Linked DNA regions of Elephas maximus indicus. The protein of the gene in region 1 interacts with the protein of each later gene in a biochemical or structural test. Links are inferred from orthologs where the notes say so. Each region holds a gene or a part of one and is shown in the gene's direction. Other genes may lie near its edges.

The links. The genes of interacting proteins can lie anywhere in the genome.
Region 2: of the proteins of UBA1 (region 1) and UBE2G2, one has a biochemical effect on the other in vitro, tested with the Homo sapiens proteins (5 studies listed by BioGRID, with this or other methods). The link is inferred for Elephas maximus indicus from reciprocal best matches to the Homo sapiens genes UBA1 and UBE2G2.

The regions. Positions count from the first base shown.
Region 1 is NC_064846.1:124,611,853-124,619,114, reverse strand, and holds the start of UBA1 (ubiquitin-like modifier-activating enzyme 1), read left to right. Parts: upstream 1-4,259; 5' UTR 4,260-4,465; intron 4,466-7,262. UniProt on the Homo sapiens protein: Catalyzes the first step in ubiquitin conjugation to mark cellular proteins for degradation through the ubiquitin-proteasome system.
Region 2 is NC_064820.1:229,237,561-229,244,684, reverse strand, and holds the start of UBE2G2 (ubiquitin-conjugating enzyme E2 G2), read left to right. Parts: upstream 1-4,106; 5' UTR 4,107-4,703; coding exon 4,704-4,746; intron 4,747-7,124. UniProt on the Homo sapiens protein: Accepts ubiquitin from the E1 complex and catalyzes its covalent attachment to other proteins. In vitro catalyzes 'Lys-48'-linked polyubiquitination. Involved in endoplasmic reticulum-associated degradation (ERAD).

The DNA.
Region 1 (7,262 bases):
AAAAGATCTGGCAATCTGCTCCATAAAGATTTCAGCCAAAGAAAACTGAATGGGGGTGGTTTTACTCTGTCCTATAGGGTTGCTATGAGTCAGAATTGACTTGGCAGCAGTCAACAACACAACAGTATTATTGTGGGAAATTCTCAGCATTTCTATGTGGAAGACTATAAAAAATTTTAGGCACAAAATGGCAACAAAATATTAAAAAAGGAACCCTGGTGGCACGATGGTTAAATGCTTACATACTAGTCAAAACCCACTCAGAGGCTCCTTGGCGAACAGGCCTGACTATCTGCTTCCTGAAAGGTCACAGCCTTGAAAACCCTTTGAAGAAGTTCTACTCTGCACACGTGGGGTCACCCTGAGGTGGAATCTACACAATGGCAACTAACAACAACATATTAACTGACTAAAAGGAAACAATAATCTCAACCACAGAAAAAACTTTGATAAAGCGCAAGAATCCATTAATCCATACTTATATAATTTTTTTTATATAAATAAAGGAATAAATGAGGAAACAAATGGAGGAGGGAAAGCTTTTCTTTACGATAGAATGTCGTCTAATAATTATAAAACAAATGATAAAACCCTCTGAATTTCAGTGGGTTAAACTTCTATGAGGAACAATATTTACATAGTATTAAAGTACTTCACCACCAAATACTTGCTAACTACAAAGGGAAAAGATAATAACTTTACAGTAGAGAACCTCGCAGATAGCATTTTAATCAAGGGATGAAAGTGAGCATCATCAGTATTAAAACTGTACACCACCTGATAAGATGAAATGAGAAGACAGCATCACTTCTGTGATACAGTGTATTCCTATCCAAGATGCAGAGCCCGAATCAAATCTGAGGAAACATCAGACAAACCCAAACTGAGGAACATTCTACAAAATAACTGTAATCTTCAAAAGTGTCAAGGTCATGAAAATCAAGGAAAGACTGAAGGAGACTAGAGAGGTGAGACATCTGAATGCTCAAATGTCACTTCTGATTGCCCTAACTACCCTATTTAAAATTCCAACCCCTCCTCCACCATACTCTCTATGCCCCTTCCTTGCGTTGCTTTTCTCCATAGCACTTCTCAACTTCTAATGTACTGTATATTTTATTTATTTTTCTATATGGTTTGTCTCCATCACTGAAGTGCAAGCTCCATGAGGGTAAGGATTTTTATCTGTCCTGTCCACCGCTGTATCCCTAGTGCCTAGAGTAGGGTTTGGCGTACCAGATATTGGAAACGTGAATAAATGCACACACCACAACTGTTCAAATCATTCTCATCCTCAAGACTCTATTTTTAAAAAGTTCCTGAAAATCCGTAAGTACACCAACCCAATAGAAAGGAGGCAAAGGACATGCACAGAAAGTTCCCAGAAAAAAAAAAAATGCAGTTATCTTCAAATCTGTGAAAAGATACTTAAACTCACTCATAATAAGAGAAATGAAAATTCTAATTACAGTGATTGACAAACATCCAAAAGCTTGACAATACACTCTGTGAGATTGTGAATAAACCGGCACTCTTCTATGTTGCTGAAGGCAATGCAAAATGCCTTTCCCCTCACCTCTCCCTCTACTTTTCCCCTCTTTCTTACCTCCACAAGCTTTTTTTTTTTTTTGCTCAAGTAGTTTCCTCCAACTCTCCCCTCTTGCTTGTCCAAGTCAAATTCGGCCTCAATTACTGCCTCTGAGACATTTGAAGGCAATCAGTTCTTCAGAGAAGAACTCTGACACATCCATGGCATCAATTTCCACCTCTCATGAGCTCAAATCCGTATCTCCAGCCCAGACCTATTCCCAACCCCTGAATTTCAGACCCGGTCCCCAGCTATTCACTCAACTGACACCTCTACTTGGATGTCTAACAGCAACAACAAAAAACCAAAGCTGTTGCTGTTGAGTCGTTTCCTACTCACAGCAACCCTATAGGACAGATTGGAACTGCCCCATAGCGTTTCCAAGGAGCGGAGCTGCTGATGGATTCAAATTGCTGACTTTTGGTTAGCAGCCGAGCTTTTAACCACTAGGCCACCAGGGCCCCATAATCATGTCCAAACTTATCATGTCCAAAAACACACTCCTGATCTTCCCCCATATCTGCTCGTAATGGAGTTATGTGCCATGTCAGTTGATGGCAACTCTATCCTTCCAGCTGCTCAAGCTAAAAGCCTGGGGGGTCAGCCAGGACTCTATCTTTCATGCCCTACATCTGATCTCTCAGCAAACCTTGGCATCCTTACCTTCAAAATCAATCCAGAATCATCACTCCTCACCACTTCCACTTTCACCATCTTGGTCTGATCCTCTCATCACTTCCTAGACTCTTACAGTAGCCGTTTCACAGATCTCGATTCTTCCACCTTTGCCCCTATAACCCTCTTTGTCCCTCCATACAGAGCAACCAGATTGTTCTAAAACATAATTTATATTATGTCACTTCTCCGCTTAAACCCCTTTTAAGGCTCCCTACGGATCTTAGAGTAAAAGCCAAACAAACATCTCAGCCTGGCTTACAATACCCTACTTGATTTGGTGTCTGATCTCATCTCCTAATACTTTCCCTTCCTCATTCCTCAAGGAGCCCTGGTGGCACAGTGGTTAAGAGCTCGGCTGCTAACTGAAAGGTTGGCTTGTCGAACCCACCACCTGCTCTGCTGAAGAAAGGTGTGACAGTCTGCCTCCCTTACTCTGTCCTATAGAGGGACTATGAGTCAGAATCAGCTCAGTGGTAATACGTTTAGTTTTTTTGGTTTTCCTCATTCCTCTCCATCTACACAGAATCATGCCACGATCCTTCCAACCTCAAGGCTTTGCACCTGATGTTTCTTTTGCCTAGAATGCTTTCCTCCACATTTACACATGGCTCACTTCCTCACTCCCTCACTGCTCAAATGTCACCTCCTCAGAGAGGCATTCCCTGACTATTTTAGACTGTGGGTATCAGGCAAGGCTTCTCTGAGGTGATGCAAGATCTTGACAACTGCAAGGGGACCCTTGCTATGTTCCTTGCTATATCCCCAGGGCCCTGCACTTAGTGGGCGCTCAATAAATCATTTTCAAATGAACGAATTTGGAGGTTGCTAACAGGGTATGAGATACAGAATTTGGGATAAGGTGATAAAGATATTCTGTGTTAAATAAACTCCTTGGCACAAATGTCATCTTTTCAGTGAAACCTTCACTGGCCACACTGTCTGAAATTGCAGCCTATCCCCACAGATTCCCCTTACCTTGTCCTGTTTTCCCCCATAGCATTTAGAAGTTAGCATATGTATACAATGTTATTGTTAAGTGGGCCTCAGGTATACAGAATGATGCCCTGTCCTGTGCCATCTTCATGATCATTGGTCTGTTTGAGTTCATTGTTGTGGCTTCTATGTCAGTCCATCTCATTAAAGGGTTTCCCTCGTTTTCACTGAGCCTCTCTACTTTACCAATAAATATTTATTTATATAATTCACACATTAATATATGTATTTAACATAAAAAAAATTTATTATACCAAAACCCGTTGCCATTGAGTCGGTTCCGACGCATAGCGACCCTATAGGACAGAATAGAACTGCCCCATAGAGTTTCTAAGGAGCGGCTGGTGGATTTGAACTGCCGGCCTTTTGGTTAGCAGCCTGAACTCTTAACCACTATGCCTCCAGGGCTCCAAATTTATTATATACAGATGTAAATCATTTTAATAAATACTAAGGCTCCAAATTTATTATATACAGATGTAAATCATTTTAATAAATACTAGCTAGGTTAAAAAAAAAATTTTTTTTATCATGTTAAAAAAATTTTTATCATGATAAAAAAATTGTACATTACACATAATTTATGTCACATGTTTATTATAATACATATTTATATGTGAAATTATGATTTTTTACTTATTTGTTATGTTTATGGTCTGTCTGTCTGTCTAGCTAGAATGTCAGTTCCATGAGCACCTGGCCCACAGTTTAAGCTCCATAGATGTCAAGTGAATGAACTCCTCTGGCCACCTGAGCCTCAGTCTCCCCTTCTGTAGGGTGGGTGTGCCTTTCCGTTTGGAAGCACCTCCACGTTCTGCTCCCTTCTCCCACTCCCCCAAGAGCACTGCGCCCGCGGCCCAGGTTTACATTTTCCCTTACCCTGGGAGCCGATGCCCACCACGTGCATCAGGCGCTGGCCAGACAGGACTACCACCCCCAGCATGCCCCGCGCCGTCCGGGACTACCACGGTCTGTAGGGGTGTCTGGGTCTGAAACGGGCGCTGGCTGCGCGGAAGCAGGGACAGGTGCCCCTCTAGCCAAGCGTCTGTGGTAGGGCCCAGCCCAGGGGACCTCTAAGGCCCCGCGCTTCTGAACTCCGAGCAAACTCTGGCTCCTATTGCACGACGGAGGTGATTTGCTCTTCCGTTGATCCGTGGCATCGGCTCATCTCTAGCAGGAAGGCGAGGCTTCCGCCCGGCCCAGGGGGTAAGATGGAGCACAGTGCCCCCAACCCTTGGACAGCATTTGGAACAGGGCGCTCAACTTCAGAATCCCCTAGTGGGCGCATTTGGAGGCTCCAGGCCCAGGGTAGCATTTAGGGGTGTCTGTTTTGGAAGGATCCTTAGGAGGTGGCATTTGAGGACTCCGGGTGGGATTTGGAAGCCTGTTTTGGGGCATACCCCCTCGGAGGCAGTGTTTAGGGGGATGTTTGGGGAGACCAAGAAGCCCCGGTAGTACAGTGGTTAAGTGCTCTGCTGTTAACCGAAAGGTCGGCCGTTCGAACCCTATCTGGGGGAGAAAGATGTGGCAGTGTGCTTCCGTAAAGATTACAGCCTTGGAAACCCTATGGGGCAGTTCGGCTTTGTCCCACAGGGTCTCTATGAGTTGGAATCGACGGGAAGGCAACGGGTTTGGTTTTTTTTTTCTTTTTGGGGGGCGGGGGGAGAGACCCTTAGGGTCCACGTTTGAGTACTCTGTCCATGAGGGAGGAATTGAGGTGTCCCCCAAGCAGGGAGGCGGAGTTTGAGGTTCCTGAAGTCAAGGCGCAATTTTGGGAGAGTTTATATTAGGAAGTGTCCCGCTGACAATGTTTAAGAACGTTCAGGACCGATGTGGCATTTGGAAGGTATTCATGGCCATTGTGACCTCTGATGGTTCCATGATGGGGTACTCTCTGCACTTGGGGAGCCAGGGTGGTGAGACTGAGCACGTCGGGGTCCACACGTTTTTGGGGAGAGGAACCCCGACCCCATGCTGTGCCCAGGGACTCCAGAGCCCGGTCTGCTGGGCTTTTCCTGAGAGGAGCAGATTTTTGCCTCTTTCACACCTGGTCCACTGTAAGTATTGAGTTGTGAATTATTCACGAGGGGGCGGGTCAGTGTGCTGAAGCTGGGTTTGGGGTCTGCCACACCAAACTAGAGCTTATTGACTATTCATGCAGGTGAGTAGAGCCTCATGTTTTCTGCGGCCTTTCTAAGGGCCCATTCCCACCCCATTGCCTTCCAGTCAATCCTCATTCATAGTGACCCTATAGGACAGACAGAACTGGCCCATAGGGTTTCCAAGACTGTAATCTTTACAGAGGGGCCCTGGTAGTGCAGTGGTTAAGAGCTCAGCTGCTAACCAAAAGGTCGGCAGTTTGAATCCAACAGCCGCTCCTTAGAAACCCTAGGGGGATGTTCTACTCTGTCCTATAGGGTCGCTATGAGTCCAAATCGACAGGATGGCGATAGATTTTTTTAATCTTTAGGGAAACAGACTGCCACATCTTTCTCCCACAGTGCGGCTGGTGGGTTCGAACAGCCAACCTTTCGGTTAGCACAGGAGCGCTTAACCACTGTGTCACCAGGGCTTCTTTTCCTAGGGGCATTGCGTATAATTCATGAGGGGCATGGCTTTTGCGGCCTCTTCTACATGATCCGTGGTTAGCTTTCCCTCGTAGGTTCCAGTGTATAAGCCTTGCATCTAGCGAAGGAGTGGAGCCTCATGCATTGTTCATAATTCCTTATGGCCCAGTATCCCATGTTATCAACAAAAACTCTGGATGCAAATCTCATCAATCCTTGCCAGCTGTGTGATCTTTGGCAAAGCTTTTGTGAGCCTGAAAAATGGGTATGAGGATAATGATAATAAAATTAGCAAACACTCATTTAGCACTTTATTAGCTCATTTAATCTTCACAACAACTCTGGGAGGTAGGTTATTATCACCTTTTATAGATGAGGAAACTGGGACACAGTTAGGCTAAGTAATTTGCCTAAGGTTACACAGCCAGTGAGTGGCTGAGCCAGGATTCAAACCCAGTCTAGTTCCAGAGTCTGCAGTCTTAACCAAGTGCCATAATGCCTCCCCACTCCTCCCCAATATAATAGTACTACCACTAATGTTAGTCATATAGCAGTGCCAGGCACTGTTCTAAGTGCTTTGTACATATTTACTCATTTAAACTCCTTCACAAGGTAGGTTACTATTATTATTACCATTTTATGGATGGGGAAACCAAGGCCCAGAGAGGTGAAGTGTCTGGTCCCCGGCCACACAGCCAGCAACTGGTGGCCAGAAATGTAAGGGTTTAAGTTTTTTTTTTTTTTTAAGGAGGTTACATTTGAGTTGAGACCTGAAGAACCGGAAGGAACCTGTTTCCTCCTCTGCAAAACAGGGCTAATAAAAGCACCACCTTCACGGTGTTTTCCTGAAGAGGATATCAGTGGCACAATGCATAGAAAGGACACACCACAGGAGCTACCACTTAGTAGGGGATTAGTTACTGTGGTCTGTTATTATTTAACAGAAATGTGTTGAGTTCTTACTGTGTGCCTGGGGCTTTGGCATATGGTTGTATCTGGTGACCTGGTAGACTGTCCTACTTATTTCACAGACATTGGTTGCCTTATCATGCTGTTTTCCAGTATTCTTCCGGGAGGGTGTTTCACAGCATTATTTTTTAAATAATGCTCCAAGTGGGGGTTTCTCAAGTGACTGGGTATACCCTCACCCAGAACTAATTTCATATTAATATAAATACATATTTATAAATTACCTTTATATTACTATGTAATATTTTAAAAATTTAAGTGTTTTTGTGCCAGCAGTGGTCTAATCTCGTCCCATAATTCATATCCTCTAATTTTCATAATAACTTATTTCAACCCCATGAGGTGGGTGGGTTCTGTTACTATACCCATTTTCAGTTGTGGAAACTGAGGCATCTGCCAAAGGCATGTAGTGAGTCTGGGTTTGGTGGGATCAAGGCAGTCCTGGCTCATGAGCAGTTCAGGGGTGG
Region 2 (7,124 bases), on another chromosome or scaffold:
TTTCCTTTGTGCCGTGGGCAGTCCGCTCATTGCCTGTGTTGAAGCAGAAGTGAACTGGTGCTAATCTGATGCGGACAGTTTCTCAGCACGCTGTGCTGTGGCAGCACCAGGGCTGACAGTGCCAGGGCTGTTTTGTTCGTCAGTTGAAGTGAGCACAAGGCGAAAGGTCAATGGCAGTGGGGACACTGAGCACATCCAGGCTGGCACTTGACTCACCACAAGACTGTAGGGATTAAATCAGAGCGCATTACAGAGCTTGACCAATTTGCCAAGTCCTCTCTGCTAGGAGGGGAGGGGTGGCTACAACCTGAGCGAAGGAGCATCTTAGTTTGTGTGAGGAGAGGTGTGTGCCCAAGATGCCCTCAGTTAGAAAAGCAGAATGGCTGAGGGTCGACTTGGCTGCGTTACAGCCGTGCTGCGTGGATTTCCACCCTCAACACCTGGCAGTGGAAGAGAGGGCAGGAAATGCCCTCCAGGTTGTCTTTATCTTGGAAACTCACCAAGTGGTACATCTGAAATAATGGATCTGTTAGGACTGGTATTTTTAAAAACATTGAATTCCATAAACCTAATTTACAGAATTAGGAAACCCTGGTGGCATAGTGATTAAGAGGTACGACTGCTAACCGAAAGGTGGGCAGTTCAAATCCACCAGGTGCTCCTTGGAAACTCTATGGGGCAGTTCTACTCTGTCCCGTAGGGTCGCTATGAGTCGGAGATCGACTCGAGGGCAATGGCTAACGGCTAACTTGCAGCATCTATGGTGGATTCAGACTGCCGACCCTTTGGTTAGCAGCCATAGCACTTAACTGCTGTGCCACCAGGGTTTCTGTTTTGGTTTGGTTTATGGGTTAAATTGGTGTTTCAGGAAGATGGGCCCTATTTATCCTGTTATCTGTAGCCTAGGGTCCCAGCTGAGACTTTCCCAGTTTTAGCACTGAAACTCCCACATCCTGGAACCCTCTCAGTCCAGGCAAACTGGAACAGTGGGTCGCCTGAGCTGTGCTGCACAGGTGAAGCAGCACATTGAGAAGTGCAATATTAAAGTGCAATATTAAAGCTGTACCATGTAACACGGGTTCAGCCGCGAGGTCCTTTTTATCCTTCAGAAATTTAGTTGCCGAGAATATCAAAGTCATAATTTTGTTCTGAACTTGCTGCCTCCCCAGTGTGTGCTGCTTAGGAAAGTCAGTAACTATCACATGCCTGCTACTCAGAACACTTGGACAACCAGTACCAACTTATCTGGGTTTAGAGTTGCCAGATACAGCAATAAATAAATACATACATACTTGCCGTAGCCATCTAGTACTGCTATAACAGAAATACCACAAGTGGATGGCTTTAACTAACAAATTGATTCTCTCACAGTCTAGGAGGCTAGAAGTCCGAAATCGGGGTGCCAGCTTCCAGGGAAGGTTTTCTCTCTCTCAGTTCTGGGGGAAGGTCCCTGCCATCAATCCTGCCCTGGTCTAGGAGCATCTCAGCACGGGGACTTCAGGTCCAAGTGACACACCCCACTCCTGGCTCTGCTTTCTTGGTGGTAGGAGGTCTCTTTGCTCGATTCTGTCTTTTATATCTCAAAAGGTATAAAAGATACCTCAAGATACAATCTAATCCTATAGATTGGGTCCCACCTCATTAACATAAATGCCTCTAATCCTGCCTCATTAACATAGAGGTAGGATTTACAACACATAGGAGAATCACATCAGACCACAAAATGATGGATAACCACACAATTCTGGGAATCATGGCCTAGCCAAGTTGATACACATTTTTGGGGTACACAATTCAATCCATAACGATACCAAAAAACCAAACTTGTTGCTGTTGAGTCGCTTCTGACTCATATAAACCCTGTAGGACACAGCAGAACTGTCCCATAGGGTTTCCAAGGTTGTAATCTTTATGGAAGCAGAGTGCCACATCTTTATCCTATGGAGCAGTGGTGAGTTTGAACCACCAACCTTTTGGTTGGCAGCCGAGTGCTTTAACCACCACGCCACCGAGATTCCTTAAATAGAAATATACATCCCAGTTAAATTTGAATTTCGGATAAAGAACAAGTAGCTGGAGCGTGAGGAGATGTGCTCAGGACAGTGGAACAAGAGAAGCCTGGTTCCCTGAAGATACTCGAGCCAGCCTTACGCATCTACCCGGGAGAAATAGTTCATCCGGTTTAACCCAATGCCAACAAGTCGATTCTGACTCACGGCGACCCTGTAGGACAGAGGAGAACTGCCCCGCAGGGTTTCCAAGGAGCAGCTGGTGAATTCAAACTGCCGACCTCTTGGTTAGCAGCCGTAGCTCTTAACCACCGCACCACCAGGGTTCCTCATCTTGTTTAATCACCTCCTATTTTGGGTTTCTGCCACGGGAATGTGAAGTGAATCCTGACATAAACTGTAAAACCCATTTCCTACGATTGTTACCGAAGGACAGACACAGTGCTCCGCGGTGCGTTGGGAAGTGAGGTCTGGAAGGGATTGACTCAGAAAGCATCCAGGATGTGCTGGGCCGCTGTTCTGAGCGTCGTCCTGACGTTTGCGATGATGGTTTTCATCGCCTGCACTTCCTTTAACTGCAAAAGCTGAATTGTTCTCCTTGAGAAGACATGGGAAGGCCACCCCCTTGTGACCAATGGAGTGGGTCTGCCGACTGCTTTGGGGCTTGGCTGGGGTTTGTGATCACAGAGGAGTGGGCTGCTGTCTGGGATGGGGGGAGGAAACTTTGTAACCTTTTGTCCAAATCCATTACTCTTTGAAACAGTCTAAAAGTATCTTAACTACCACATAATTTTTCTGAATCACAGGTGGTCCTTTGAAAATCAGGGCTGGACTGAAATTTGGTGACACTCCTACCCTAAAACATGCAAACTTAATGAATCGTGTTTGCACTGTTAAATTTCATTCATTCAACAAATACTTATTGAGAGCACACCATGTCCAGGTACGGAGGCAAAATCCCTACCCTCCTGTTTAGAAGAAACAGGTAAGTTATATAGTGCGCTAATAAATCATATAGAATGGACAAGTGTGGGGGAGAAAAAAGTGAGGTGGGGGTAAAGGCCAGTGGGCAAGTGGTGGGTAGGGCTGCAGTTTTAGGTAGGGGACAGGCAGGCCACACCAATTTGGTTAACATTTGAACAGACTTGAAAGAGATGGGGGTGGGGAGGGGGGGACACAAGGGCTACTAAGAGATGGGTGCTCCCCAAAGATGGAGAAGCCAGCACTGAGACACTAGTCATGAGAGTGGCTGGGGGGGTGGCCAGGGTGCTGGGGTCTGCAGGTGAGGCAGAGGCAGAACATCATAGCCACTGTAGGGACACGAGTGTTTACTTAGGAACATGGGAGCAGCCGGGTGTCAATATGACTTGACATCTTTTAAATGGGTCATGTCTGCTATGTTGAAAACAAAGAGGGAAGGGCAAATTAAGAGGCGACTGCAACAATCCAGGCAGGAAGTGAGGGCTGTTTATACAAAAGGCACATACTGAGCACAGCCACCAGGTACTAAGTGTGCTCATTTTCCTTGAAGTCATTAAGGATGCGGGTTCCGAGAAGCATAAATACATCACCCAATCCCTGCAGGTCAACCGGGAGTAGAACCCAGACGATAGAAAAAGGTCTCACTGGTTACAGGGATAAACCTTGCACCATTGTGGGAGAAGGTGGAGAAGCAGAGGCCATGTGGGATTTGGAGGAAGGTGAAGTCACTCATCAGCCCTCCTGTGGCACCGGGAAGTGGGCACAACTCCAGCCCGTTGGACCCAGAAGGGACCTGTGGGGAAATCTGGGAGGCTGCTGCCTCTGCTTTGGGTGGTGACCCCAGGTCAGTGTTGGTCAGCAGAGCTGGCAGGCAGGAAGAATGGGGGCCACTGCCCACCCGGCATGAGGGTGGCTGCTCTGCTCCCCGTTGTTTTCCCACAGCTTCTTCTCTGATCCAGAGCTTTGGGAATCAGAGTTCCAGCCTGGCCACCTCGAATGAAGAATAAAACCACCACGATCACCGACCTTCTTCTACTCCCTAAAAACCTAAGGCCTGCTTGAGGAGTTTTGTTCCGAACGCGCACCAAATGTCTCCTTCCTGAACAGTTTAAGCCTCAGTTGGGCCTGAAGAATTAAAACCCCTAATAAAGAGAAAGTCATCTCCGTGAACTGGACCAACACGCTAGCGGTAATTTTGACTCCAGCACTGCTCCAAGGCCGGCTGAACTCGGGGCCAGAGCCGAGCCCTCGCCGCCGGCCCCCAGGCCTCAGCCGGAACACCTGCGCTCTCACTAAGGCTGTCGTTGACGTTATCCGTCTAAACCGGTCATTTCTGCGCACAGCCGGAATAAAACAACACGGTAATGACAAACACCGGGGCGCCCACGGATCCAGGACTCGGTCCTGCAGAAACCGGAAACTGCGGTATCACGCTGGGATCAGCCCAGCGGTCGGGACGTCATCGATCCCAAAAGGGCCCCGTCCGCTCCGCTCCCCGCCACCCACACCGGGCCGCTCGGTCCGAGGAGCGCGGCCGGAACTTTCCTCCAGACCGAGCCCCGGGGTCCGGGGGCGCTTGGGCACTCGGTTGGCTCAGCGACCCGGAAGAGCTTCTCTGGTCGCGACGGCAACCCGGAAGCAGCCGCCGGCATCGGGGCGGGAGGGACGGGCCCTTATGAGGCGAGGGCGCAGGGAGCTGCTGTTGCCCGGACGATGGCGGGGACGGCGCTCAAGAGGCTGATGGCCGAGTACAAACGTGAGTTCGGGGCCCCGCGCCGGCCTTTCTCGGGGGCTGCCCGACGCTCGAGCCCCTGCCGCGGGCCTGCCCCACCCCGGACGCCGTCCGGGCCGCCCCTCGCCTTTACTCCTTCGGGATAGCCGGTTGGCCGCAGGCCTCGAGGCGGGACGCGTCCGGCTGTGCCCGCCTCGCCTCGCAGTATTGCGTCCCGGCGACAGTCGGGCGGATCCCCTTCCAGCGCTGCTGGGTCCAGGGGTGTGGGCCGAGGTTGCGGCTTCAAATCAGGGTGCCAGCGGACCACCCAGGCCTGATGGGACGGTGCCCTGAGGATGCAGAGGACCCGAGAAGGTTCCAGATGACCCCTGTGCTAGCTGTGTAGGTGTTTCAGTTAGTTCCCATGTGGGAGCCCCGGACTCCCCAAACCACTGAGTCATGCTTGTTTGTTCGCGTGTTAGAAGCAAATGTGATTTGGTTTGGTACACTGTGACTGTCATAAAACGGTCTGGGATGTGGGTACTCTCTTGTGCCTACTAGCTACCCTACTTCTTAGTGTATAAACAAAGAGAAATACTTAAATAAATACATTAGTACTGTGGTGGTGTTAGTTTAGAATGCTTAAATACCCCCCCCCGCCCCTTTTAGTAATTTAGAGGCCCCTTAACTGCAGACTAAGGAGCCCTGGTGGTGCAGTGGTTCAGCGCTCGGCTGCTAACCAAAGAGACAGGTGGCAGTCTGCTTCTGTAACGACTTACAGCCTTAGAAACCCTGTAGAGGTCGCTAGGAATTGGAATCCGCTCGGTGGCAATGTTTTTTTTTTTTTTTTTTAAGTTGCAGATTTACAAATGTGCAAGAAGTTGGGGAGGAAAGCCTGAATTGCCTACTGAAAAGTTTTTTAAAAAAGTGTTATTTTCCTGCTAAAAGGAAAAAGCTCGTTGTGATGAGTTGTAGTTGAAAGATCAGATTTTATATTTCTCTCTAATAAGAGATCAGGGATTTTGAATAGTGTCACCTGTTACTCTTCCTAGGTAGTGTTCAGAAAACCTAGTTAAGGCTTTCTTAGGCAGTAAATAAAGTGTTTCCAGTATTTTGGGGAAAGTAAATGGAGAAATGAGAAGCCTAAACCCTGTTGCTGTAGAGTCAATTCCAACTCATAGCGACCCTGTGAGAAGCCTAGGAATACCCTATTGTACCTTTTTAAAGTGAAATGCTCTCTTGGAATAAAACTCAGAGGCCTGCTGCCATGAGAAGTTATGGAATGCCATTGTGATTGAAGGTGCCAGAAACCTTTGAATTGACTGATAGGAGACAAGGTGGTAGCGTGGTTAAGAGTGTGGCCCCTGCAGCCGCAGACCTGGGTTGAGACCCTCCCTCTGGCCTCGGGCAAATCCCTTAACTTCTCTACAACTTCCTCATCTGTGAAGATCAAAGTTGATATTGCAGGTGAAGGGCTTAGCAAGATCCCGGATTCATAGCTCTCAGTAACGTTAGTTGTTACTGTTGTTATAATTAGATGGAGGATAATTTTGGAAGAAAGTTGAAAATAAACTGAAATAAGAATAATAAAAATAATTGGTGAATACACATGCTTGTGTGCTGCACAGGGAGAGTTGATGTTTGGCAGGAGCAAACCAAACTTGTCAAATGCAGGCTCCTTAAAGTCAGTGTTTCAATAAGGTCCACTACTTACCTTGTGTTCATTACGGTAGGAACATGTATTTCTGCATTTAAAGCAGACTTTTAGGGGACTGTGGAGGAGATGGTTCACTCTGGACAGAGGATGGTGGTGGGAGGCTACTGTCTCTACCTTGTCATGGGAAACCAAGCTGGGGGATCAGACAGGTATGAACTCATCACCTACCATTTACTGACTACAAGCATTGTGGTCTGTGTTTCTGTATTTGTTTTAGTCTGTTTAGCCCTATTTCTAGGCTGTGAGCAGATATCACTTCCTTATTCATTTTGCTTTGCGGGGGGAGTAGGCCAGTCTTCTTGCTTCAGTCCAGCCTTTGCGGTGTTGAACTTGTATTTCCTAAGAATATTTACATTAGCAAAGCTTTTTTTCTTTCTTTTTACTGTACTTACGGAAGGCTTATCCATTATTTCAACCACATTGTTAATTAGTTTGCAGGAATAGAACCTGAATAGCAGTTGACTTCAAATGCTACGTTGCAGAGTGTCTTGTATTTGTGTGTTTTTATATGTTCATATATGGAATTTTGGGGTATGTGTTGTAGGCAGAACTCTGAAGATCTAAGGATACTCTGGTTATTCAATCAGACAATAATCTAGGTGTTGCAGAGGTAGTTAAGGTTAGTAAATATCTGACCTTAATTATGATAGAGAAACTAGCCTGAATTGCCCAGATGGGCCCAATAATTAGAACCCTAAAGAGCAGC